Linked DNA regions of Caenorhabditis elegans. The protein of the gene in region 1 interacts with the protein of each later gene in a pairwise test. Each region holds a gene or a part of one and is shown in the gene's direction. Other genes may lie near its edges. The genes, in order: nhr-37 and hat-1.

Evidence for each region.
Region 2: the proteins of nhr-37 (region 1) and hat-1 interact in a two-hybrid assay, tested with the Caenorhabditis elegans proteins (one large-scale study listed by BioGRID).

Annotation. Positions count from the first base shown.
Region 1 is NC_003283.11:6,620,361-6,625,513, forward strand, and holds nhr-37 (Nuclear Hormone Receptor family), read left to right. Parts: upstream 1-1,833; 5' UTR 1,834-1,907; coding exon 1,908-2,077; intron 2,078-2,126; coding exon 2,127-2,185; intron 2,186-2,779; coding exon 2,780-2,841; intron 2,842-2,893; coding exon 2,894-3,088; exon of another isoform or gene 3,089-3,095; intron 3,096-3,141; coding exon 3,142-3,447; intron 3,448-3,494; coding exon 3,495-3,589; intron 3,590-3,835; coding exon 3,836-3,951; intron 3,952-3,998; coding exon 3,999-4,150; intron 4,151-4,198; coding exon 4,199-4,297; 3' UTR 4,298-4,416; downstream 4,417-5,153. Other genes in the region: ppt-1 (Palmitoyl-protein thioesterase 1), read right to left, coding at 4,417-4,614, 4,827-4,925.
Region 2 is NC_003281.10:10,404,555-10,409,151, reverse strand, and holds hat-1 (Histone acetyltransferase type B catalytic subunit), read left to right. Parts: upstream 1-1,903; 5' UTR 1,904-1,910; coding exon 1,911-1,992; intron 1,993-2,037; coding exon 2,038-2,458; intron 2,459-2,505; coding exon 2,506-2,565; intron 2,566-2,644; coding exon 2,645-3,317; 3' UTR 3,318-3,904; downstream 3,905-4,597. Other genes in the region: M03C11.3 (PH domain-containing protein), read right to left, coding at 23-151, 555-790, 865-889; ATP-dependent DNA helicase chl-1, read left to right, coding at 3,916-4,253, 4,315-4,417.

The DNA of each region.
Region 1 (5,153 bases):
TTTCACTAACAGTATATTTGTGATTAATTTTAGTACAACCGAGATATGAGCCGTCAAAGTAAAGCAATTGGGGTACAAATCCAGTAGGGAAAATATGGTAGACTTGTTAACTTGAAATTAGTCTTCAGTTTATGTACTATAGGACTAAACTTATTTGTATTTATTTTTTTTTAACTTGAGGGAATAGTTTTCCTTGACATGCATACTTAATAAAGCGGTGAATTGAATTTATATGAATAACATTGTTGTACTAGTTGTTACTTTGATGCTACTTTTGCAAATTGACAAAATATCATGATATCTCGGAAAATATGCGAACTACATATTTGGCAAATTTATTACTCATCGGGTAAGAAAATCGGAGAAAACATATCTGATGTCTATCAACTGATCTAAATGAATAGAAAAATGATTGTTCCCAATTGAATCAGTCTAGATCAGGAACTTTTGAAACATATATACAGTTATATGCCCTAAAAATGAACAACTTTCCCCGTCAACAGACACAATATTTTTCTCTTTTTCTGGTCTCCATGTCCTATTTCATGAGTCAAGTGTTGTAGAGGGCGACGATAAGACATCGGGCCCAAACGCATTAACGAATCATCTTGCGGGTCGGGAGGCGGGATCTGTCAAAAGTTTGCAGCGTTTGGCAAAGGTTCGAGGCTGGCAATGAAGATGCAAGGATGGTGGACGGCTACCTGCAGATGACAGTCTATCGGAGACGCAGACTAATCAGATGACATTAGTCTTTTGAAAGTTTTGCGGAAGTCCAATTCGGCGAACACAGGTCGCGTGTGAATCGATGCTCGTAGACCGAGTAGCAATTGACAGCTAGAGATTGACAATTTATGAAGAGACGCAGACAGATGTGAACATAGAAACGACAAAAGACATACATGTTTCGAATTAGATGGACAAGATCGGTTGCCTCTATATAAAGTAGCTCAACGTATTTTATCCAAAATTCTAAATCGGTCACTATCAATCTAGCAATTCTAAAATGTTTTTGTTTCTGATTTTCCGCAATTCCATCGAAGTTACAATTTTGACTTAAAATTTTCTATCACAAATCATGTACCAATGTGTGCACTTTTAAAAAAATTGTACAATGTATGTAGCAGTAATCAGAAGGGGATTGTTTTCCTATAAAATTCAAGAAAACCCAAAATTCTCACATTCCGAAAATCTTTTTTTTCTGACTTTTTTCCTTTTTGGTTCATCGAACATAAAAACATTTTGAAACAAATTTTTGAGGTGGTCTTTTCAAGTGGAAAGTAAATTCAAAATCTTTTATCATCAGATCGAATATGAAATTTCTGAGTTTTCTATTTTAAGAACTTTCAGTATCTATAGTATCCCTAGGCACATTTTTAAAACGTTTCATACAACTCCAGCTAAAGTTTTCTGAAAATACGGTTAGCCAAATTCACCACTTCATCCTGATAATTGTCATTATGCTTTTCCTTCCACTACAACTAGACTATCTCTTTTCGGAAGGGGGTGAGATTTTAATTGTTTGTCTGAGATTCCTACGTCTTCGACCAGCGTAACGATCAGAGAACATGCCGACATGACGTCTTCCCCCAGCCGAAAATGTCTCTCTTCTGATCTTGCCTTACATGTGAAGAAAAGTACCAAAAAATTGCTGTGATAACTTTGTGATTTGAGGCTGGGTTTTCAGTCTCAAAATTTGACATGTAGGTACGTTCATTTTTCCTTCAAGTTTCCCTCTTTTTTTTTCTCAAATATAAACCCTTTTCGGTGGTCACTTGATCTTTTCCTCTCCTCTCTACGTTTTTCATTTCTCTAATAACATATCTGGTAGAGATCTCTTAGAATGACAACACCCAATTTGCATATTACAAAATGATGATCACACTTTTTTTCCTTCTCAGAATCTAAAAATGGTACCTGACAAGTCATGCTTGGTTTGCAAAAAAGCTTCAAATGGAATGCATTTCGGTGCACTCACCTGCCGAGCGTGCGCCGCATTCTTTCGAAGGGCTACTGTACTGAAATTACAGTATAAATGTAAGCAGGGGAATTCAAAATGCAATATTGATGGTCGTGGAAGGTGAGTTACTATAGTCTTCAAAATCAGAAAATTCACGTTTTGTTTATAGATATGTCTGCCGGCAGTGTCGTCTGACAAAGTGCAAAGCAATCGGGATGAATGAAGAGAGTATGTTTTTTTTTCCAAAAAAATAAAAACTTGCAAGATTTTCAAGTGCATATCGTGCACATCAAAAAATTTTACATCAAAAGTTTTTGTGAAAAATTGTTGCGAAAATTGGTTTGACAAATTTTCAAAAACTTCATGTGAATAGGTTTTGTGGAATACGCAGAAAAATAATTTTTTCTGAAAAATAAAAAATCCTAACAAAATTTCTAGATCATCTCTATGTTTGATTTTTACTCTTTAGGCTTAGAAAGGATTTTTTCCGAAGTCCGAAAATTACAAAAATATTCCAAAGGTTTTTTTTATAGCTTAAATAATTTCAAAATGAGGGCATTAAATACAAAAGTGCCCTATTTCCTTTTTTTACATAATGTTGAATTTTGAAAATTGCTAAAAATCACCACTCATTTTTGCTAGTGGTGAAATAACTAAATCCTTTCCAAAACACAAATAAAATTTCAATTACTGTCAAAAATTTTGCTGCCATTCTTTTGGAATTTAACCAAAAGCGTTTTTTTCTGCAAATTTTACAGAGTCCAATTATTTTTCTCTTCTTTTTTTCTCTTCTTTTTCTAGTAAAATATACTCATTTTTCAGAAGTTCAATTGGACTATGACCCAACGTACTCGTTTCGCGGTTTGATGGAGGATAGTGGAAGTGTGAGTTTTGTTTTTTAAATTAAAAACAATTATTTTATTTACTACATTTCAGGACGAATTCTCTACGCCAAATGGAAGCCCAGCTCAATCTGATTACAGCCCGACCAACTTGAGCCGGAAGAACTCGGTGGAGTCACCTGGAATTGATCCGAACTTTTTGTTCACCTTCTCGCCAAAAACACCGGATAAGCCGAACATGGTTATCAGTTTTAATGACTTGGTGAAGAAAATTGAAACGTCATTTTCGGTAAGTTGAAGCGAAAAACATTGAAAGTGAAAATTTTGTTATTTTATGTTCAGCATAAAACAAAAGGCGACGATTGTGAACTGACTACTTTGACGTCTGCATTGAAAAAGTTTAGGAAAAATCAAAAAGCTCAAAGTCAAATCTCTTTTCTTGACAAAGTCGAGCTGAAATCTGCTATTGATTGGCTCAATGATCGAATCTATATGTACTCTTGTTGGTTTTCCTCTTCAAAATCTTTAATGTCTCTACCCATGGATCAAAAAATGCAGCTCTTCCGATCTTCTTGGAATGTCGTTAGAACATTTGAGCGCCTAGAAATGTCTGTCAAGATTTTTGAAGAAGGAGTCATTCGAGGAGGAGTGAGAATAGTTTTTAATTATTTTTAAAAATATCAACTGTTTTTCAGTATATACTTATCAATGATGATCTCGCAATGAAATTGGAATCAACTCATATTGACTTTGCCTCGATAACTGATCTCACGAATCAATATTTCAACAAGTGAGTTTTCTGTTTCAAAAACTTTGAAATGCCCACAATTCGCTGATTGAAATTTGTCAATGTTCTGAAAAGCCTACTCAAAGTTGCGTTGGTTTTAGGATCACATTTTGATACAGCATTTTCTTTACTATAAAATTAATTGAAATACTGAAAATTCAACAAAACAATTTTTGCCGCTATGTCGAGAAAGATATAATGATGAAAAATCTTTGAACATTTTTATATTTGTATTTTTGTAATTTTCAGACTATTCGAACCCTTCCTACACCGTTACATAGATGAAGTTGCAAGGCCACTTCTTGATCTCAAGCCAACTACGGAAGAAGTCGTTTTTTGTATGGTTCACCTTATTGGACTTGAAGGTAAAAAAAAAAAACATCAATCAAATTTTTATTAACTTTAATTTTAGAAGGTGATCTTTCTCATGAAACACGAGAAGCTTGCGAACAAATGCGAGCAGAAATTGCTGACCAAATGCACGTTTATTATACAAATCGGACGGATATCAAAATGTATTCTCATCGGCTTCTGATTCTTATGAAACTGGTCAAATCCATGAAGGTTTGCCAAATTTTTTTTTAAGTTTTCTGATTTTCCCCCTATTTTTAGAGAATCTCTCGTGAGAAATCAAAGATCAAGGAGCTCTTCTGGCTTTTTGACATCTTTCATGCCGAAATCTCGGAGCCGTATTTTTTCGAGATGTTTTAGAAAATGATGGGAACCCAAATCAAGAAAATGCTCACACAACCAGTCATGATAATTTCATAATTCATTTTTACGTACGAGTTTTACAATACGAGTTGTTTCTTTTTGAAAATCAAACAAGTTCACATAAAATATTTTTTGATAATATCGTTGACAAGCACACTTCTTGGAATTTGCAAGTGATCTCCATCCACGTCCATAAAATGGATTCGTCCACTCTCATGAAGCTTCTTCAATCCAATACGATCCTCTTTGTACAGGTCGGTTTCGTTCATTGGGAGAATTGTGTCAATATCACCGTCTTTGTAGAACCCGAACCACTGGAATAAATTATTGAGACTTTATAAAATATTTCAGCGTGAGAACCGTGACAGGTGGTACAAAATGTCTGTTGCCTGTGTGGCTCTTTGTACCCATTAGAATGAGAATACTCGGGAAAACTCCGGCCTGCATTAACAAGCTTTTGGCGACCCTCGCCTATAGGCGACTATAGTCTACTTTCGGAAACTGCAAAACAAAAAAAACCACTCACAGATGAATCCTTTGGTACAACCATATGATCTTGATTGAATTTCACCAGAACCAGGTTTTTGAGACTCAATAAGTTGCGTTTGTAAGTCGGGTTGTTATTCTGAAACAAAAATACTTTTTTTTTCAATTATTTTAATGATTACGATTTTCTAACGATTTTGAAATTCAAATGTCAACCGGCAGGAATAATTTTTAGAAAAGAAAATAAAGCACCACCGTTCATTAAACTAATCCCGGCGCATCTTTTTACAGAAAAAGTTATAATTTTCAATCACCAAAAACAGTTTTTTCAAAACAAAAAAGGACCAAAATGTACAGAAATTATTAA
Region 2 (4,597 bases), on another chromosome or scaffold:
AGATTTTTCACAAAAAACTCACCAAATTCGGCTTCGTGTACTCGTTGACATTTATGTGTAACGGAGAGAGTGTTTGACTGGTTGGAACACCGACAGACGTCGATGCGACAAATGATGACTTTAGTTGAGCTTCTGACGCTGCAGCGGCGGCCTGAAAATTGAGAAATTGAGAAAAACAATAGGAAAATCGATTAAAATGTGCATTCATACATGTTTTTAATAAGTTTTTTTTACAAAATCGTTTTTAAAAATCTATTTAATGGAAAAATTAGTTTCAAAACATGTTTCTAATATATTTTTTCGACTAAATTAAATTAAAATCATGTTTTGATACATTTTATCGAGAAATTAGGTTAAAATCATTTTTAAAATTCTTTTTTTTTGACAAAATTGGTTGGAAATCATGTTTTTAGATTTTTTGGACAAAATTAGATTAAAACCTTTTTTAATCCATTTTTTCAACAAAACTAACTTAAAATTTAATTTTTATTTTATTTCTCCACAAAATCAGTTAGAAATCCAGTTTCTAGGGTTAAAAAACGCCAATTTTTTACCTCAATCTCTCGTTCATCGTCATTTGTATCACGTTGCTCAACAAATTGCGATAATCCTCCTCCATTTGAAGAAGAAGACGACGCATCGAACAATGAACGATCATGTTCCATACCAGGGAACGAGTGATGTGAGGCAGGAATTGTGCCACCTATTATCACCATACAATCCGATGGGATACTTCTGCTGATGTTGCTCGTATTTGAAAACGTTGTTGGTCCGAGGTTTTCCTTCAATTCTGATATGGATTAGAGGACATTTCACATGGAAAATCCGTGAAATTTCAGAAATTTTCAGTGGAATTTAATTTACCTGTTCTTGTCGAACGCTCATGCATTATTTGATGGTCTTCCCATCAACTTGTTGCTTGGAATCTTCTGAAAATTCGATTTTTTAAAAATGATTTTTGACAATTTTGAGCGGATTTGTGAGAGAAAATTCGATTGAAAAAAAATATTTTTACATTAAAACCGTTGAAAAAACCAATTCTTTTTGATATTTTTCAAAAAATTCCAATGAAATTTGGTTGTTTTCAACAAAAATATAACGGAAAAATGGTAAAATAGCAAAACTTTTATATAAATAGGAAAAATTTATAAATTTTGCGATGAAAAATCTCACAACGAGTTTTAAAAAACTTAATTTCTGATTTTAACAAAGTTTTAATTGAACAAAACAACAAAAATTCTCGAAAATCCGCCGAACTATGGAAATTAACTCTTTTTTATCTAATTATCGTGAGAAAACCGCGAAACCCGGGCAATTAGAGCAAAATAATGCGGTTTTGCGCCATTTTTCACAATAAAAATGAGACATTTTACGGGGAAAACGCTTGAAATTCGATATTTTTGTTTGTTTATAATTTTTATGATGCAACTAAACTTCACGAATCAACTTGATCAATCAATTTATCCGTTTTGGGATGAAAATTCCGGGAGATAAGCGAAAAATTTCTGAAAAATCGATAAAAATTCACCCGGAGGCGTGAAAAACAGCACGGATCCATCAGAAGATCCCTGGCAACGTGCCAACTCGCACGGCGTATTTCGAAAAAAGCGCGACGAGAGAGTGTGTGGCCGTGAGAGACGCGCGACACTCAGACAGTCGGAGAGAACGCCATCTCTTATGAGAGGTTGCGAAAGTCAACGGGTCTCGCCGCGAAGAGACACTTTTGTGTCGATTTACGAAGTGAGAAAGCCCGCGGGAAACTTTTTTAAATTTTATTCTTTTATTTTCGTCGGAATTCCTTCATTTTTTCTCATTTTCCACGCAAAATCGGTAAATAAATTGATTAAATATCGTCTTGTTTCGCGATTTTCAAGGTTCAATGGCGTTTTCAACTCTTTAACAGTTTCAGCATGGTTATGGAGGACGTCACGAATGTCAATCGCAATCGGAGATACATTTCCGACGGACTTGCTGTCGTTAAAATGACATTTTGTAAGAGTTTAACCGAATTTTCGCTTGAAAGTTCCCATTTTTCAGTAAAAAACATGCAAGAAATCAGTACTGCGCCACGCTACGAACCAGAGATGGTCTATCAGCATTTCGGAGATGAGGAGACAATCTTCGGCTACGAAGATCTCGAGGTTACCATCCATCACACAGCTCAAACCCTCTACAGCTACATAAACGTGAGCTATTCCTCAAAAGCGAAAAACGAAAACGGACTGGAGGCCGATGACGTCATTGATAAGCTGGTTCATCCAGACGTTCGTCCGAATGTTCTGGTTTCGGGAAAAGAAGAATTCCAGCAGAAGCTCATCAAACAGAAGGATTTCAAGCCTTTCGGTGAGATGGTACACAAGTTTGAGCTGAAAGGAAAGAGCTACGAGGTCTACAAAGTCGCCGAGCAAACCGAAGAGTTCAACCTTTTCCTAGAAAGAATCCAGACTCTCGGCATGTTGTGAGTGCTTAAAAAATAAGGATTTTCCTACAAAATTTTTTTTTCAGCTTCATCGAGTGCTGCTCACTGACAGATAACACTGAAGACAATTGGCTTCACTATTTTATGTAAGTTGAGAAGATTTCGCGGCGAATTCCAGAAATTACAAAAAATCGAACGCATTTCAAATATTTTTCAATTTTCCAGCTACGAACGCTGCGACACCGGTGAAGGAGATGGAAGTACTGTGGCCAACGTGGCTGGCTACGCGACACTCTTCAAATTCTACAACTACATTGACAGGATCCGTCCACGAATTGCACAGATGCTATTGCTCCCTCAATACAGAAAATCTGGAATTGGAGCCAGTTTCATGGAATCTTTCCTGCGAGATCTTCGTGCCTCTCCAGAAGTTTTCGACGTAACCGTCGAGTCTCCCGGAGATCAGTTCGTCAGCCTCCGTGACTATGTGGATTGTGTCAACTGCATGACACTGCGGGAATTTGCACCGGAGAATCTCAAGAGGGGATACTCGGACAAAATGCGTCAGGCCGCACTGGAAAAGCTCAAGATTTCCAGACAACAAGCCCGTCGAGTCTATGAAATTTTGCGTTATCGTGCTACAAATAAGAAGGATAAAGAAGAGCTGAAAGCGCAGAGAATCGATGTGAAACGTCGGTTGTATGCACCAATGAAGAAATCGGATCAGGACTGGAAGCGTCTGAATCTCGCGTTGACACCCGATGAGCTTCGACAAGCGGCCTGTGGACAAATGGATGAGGAAACCAAGTTCTCGACGCTCTCACAGAATTATGATCGGCTTATGGAGGCCTATCAAAAAACTATTGATCGAATTGAGCAGCATCCAAGCATTTTTTAATCGTTGTATCTGTATCTTATTTTAATTTGAAATTACATGTGGGATTTTTGTATTTTTTTTAAAGCTAATTACCACGAAATTCGTCTAAATTTGCTGTAAATTTGCAAAATTCCCTTGCCGTTATTACCCATACGCGAAATTTTGCGCCAAAAGTACGGTATCCGGTCTCGAAGAGAAAAATGTATGATAAATGCGAAAAAGTGTGCGCCTTTAACGATTTTTATCAGGTTTTCATAGTTTTTCCCAGCATTTGTTAAAGTTTTTTTGGGTTTTGATTGTGATCTACGAAAAATCGACGAAAATCCGCAATAGCAAAAGTTTGAAGCTACAGTACTCTTTAAAGGCGCACAAATTTTCGCGTTTAACAAACATGTTTCGTTGCGAGACCAGGCACCGTATTTTTGGCGTGAAAATCGCTTTGGGTCCTATTTGACTTATTGTGAATGTTTCATGAATTTTTCCGCTCTCTAAACTCTCAGCTAAAAATCGAATTCCCAGTTGAAAATCCCGAATATATTTTTATCTTCTTATATATTATTCTTCAATTACAAAAAAAAAACTCACCGAAATAAATGATCTCTCACTCTATCCCAGCAGAATGGACGAATTCTCATTTCCATTTCAACCATACGACATTCAACTCAATTTGATGCGAGAAATCCGCCAATGCATTGAACAACGGAAAATTGGCATTTTCGAATCTCCAACAGGCACCGGAAAGTCGCTCAGCGTGTTGTGCTCGACGATGACGTGGCTGGAAGCTGAAGAACTACGAATTTCGACTGATTTGAGCACACGGCTCGGGGAGGTTCACACGAAAATCACGGAATGCGATAAAATCACCACCGCCGACAATTGGGAGACGGCAGTTCGTGAGAAAATGCGAGCTCAAGACGTAGAGACGGAGATTTTGGAGCAAATTCAGAGTCGGGAAAGGTGTTGGAAATTGAATAATTATTCTTTTTTAATTTTTTTTTAAATGAAAAAAATCATTCAGATTGCAGTCACGAATCGATCAAGCCCGGCGAGGAATGGTCGAGGTCTCCAGAAAGAGAAAAGCCCCGGCCAGGGATACGGATCAGTTTCTCGAACCTCAAGATGTAATAATTGAACTTTTATCCGGAAATTCACATGTGGCTGACCGTTTTTTCGGAAAATTTCAAGATTTCTGACTAGAACCTGGCTTTTTTTTTCTGGAAAAACCTTGAAATACGCAAAAATTCCAAATTTTTAAATACAAACCTTCAGTATTGCTAATTTTTTGAGAAATGTGAAAAAAT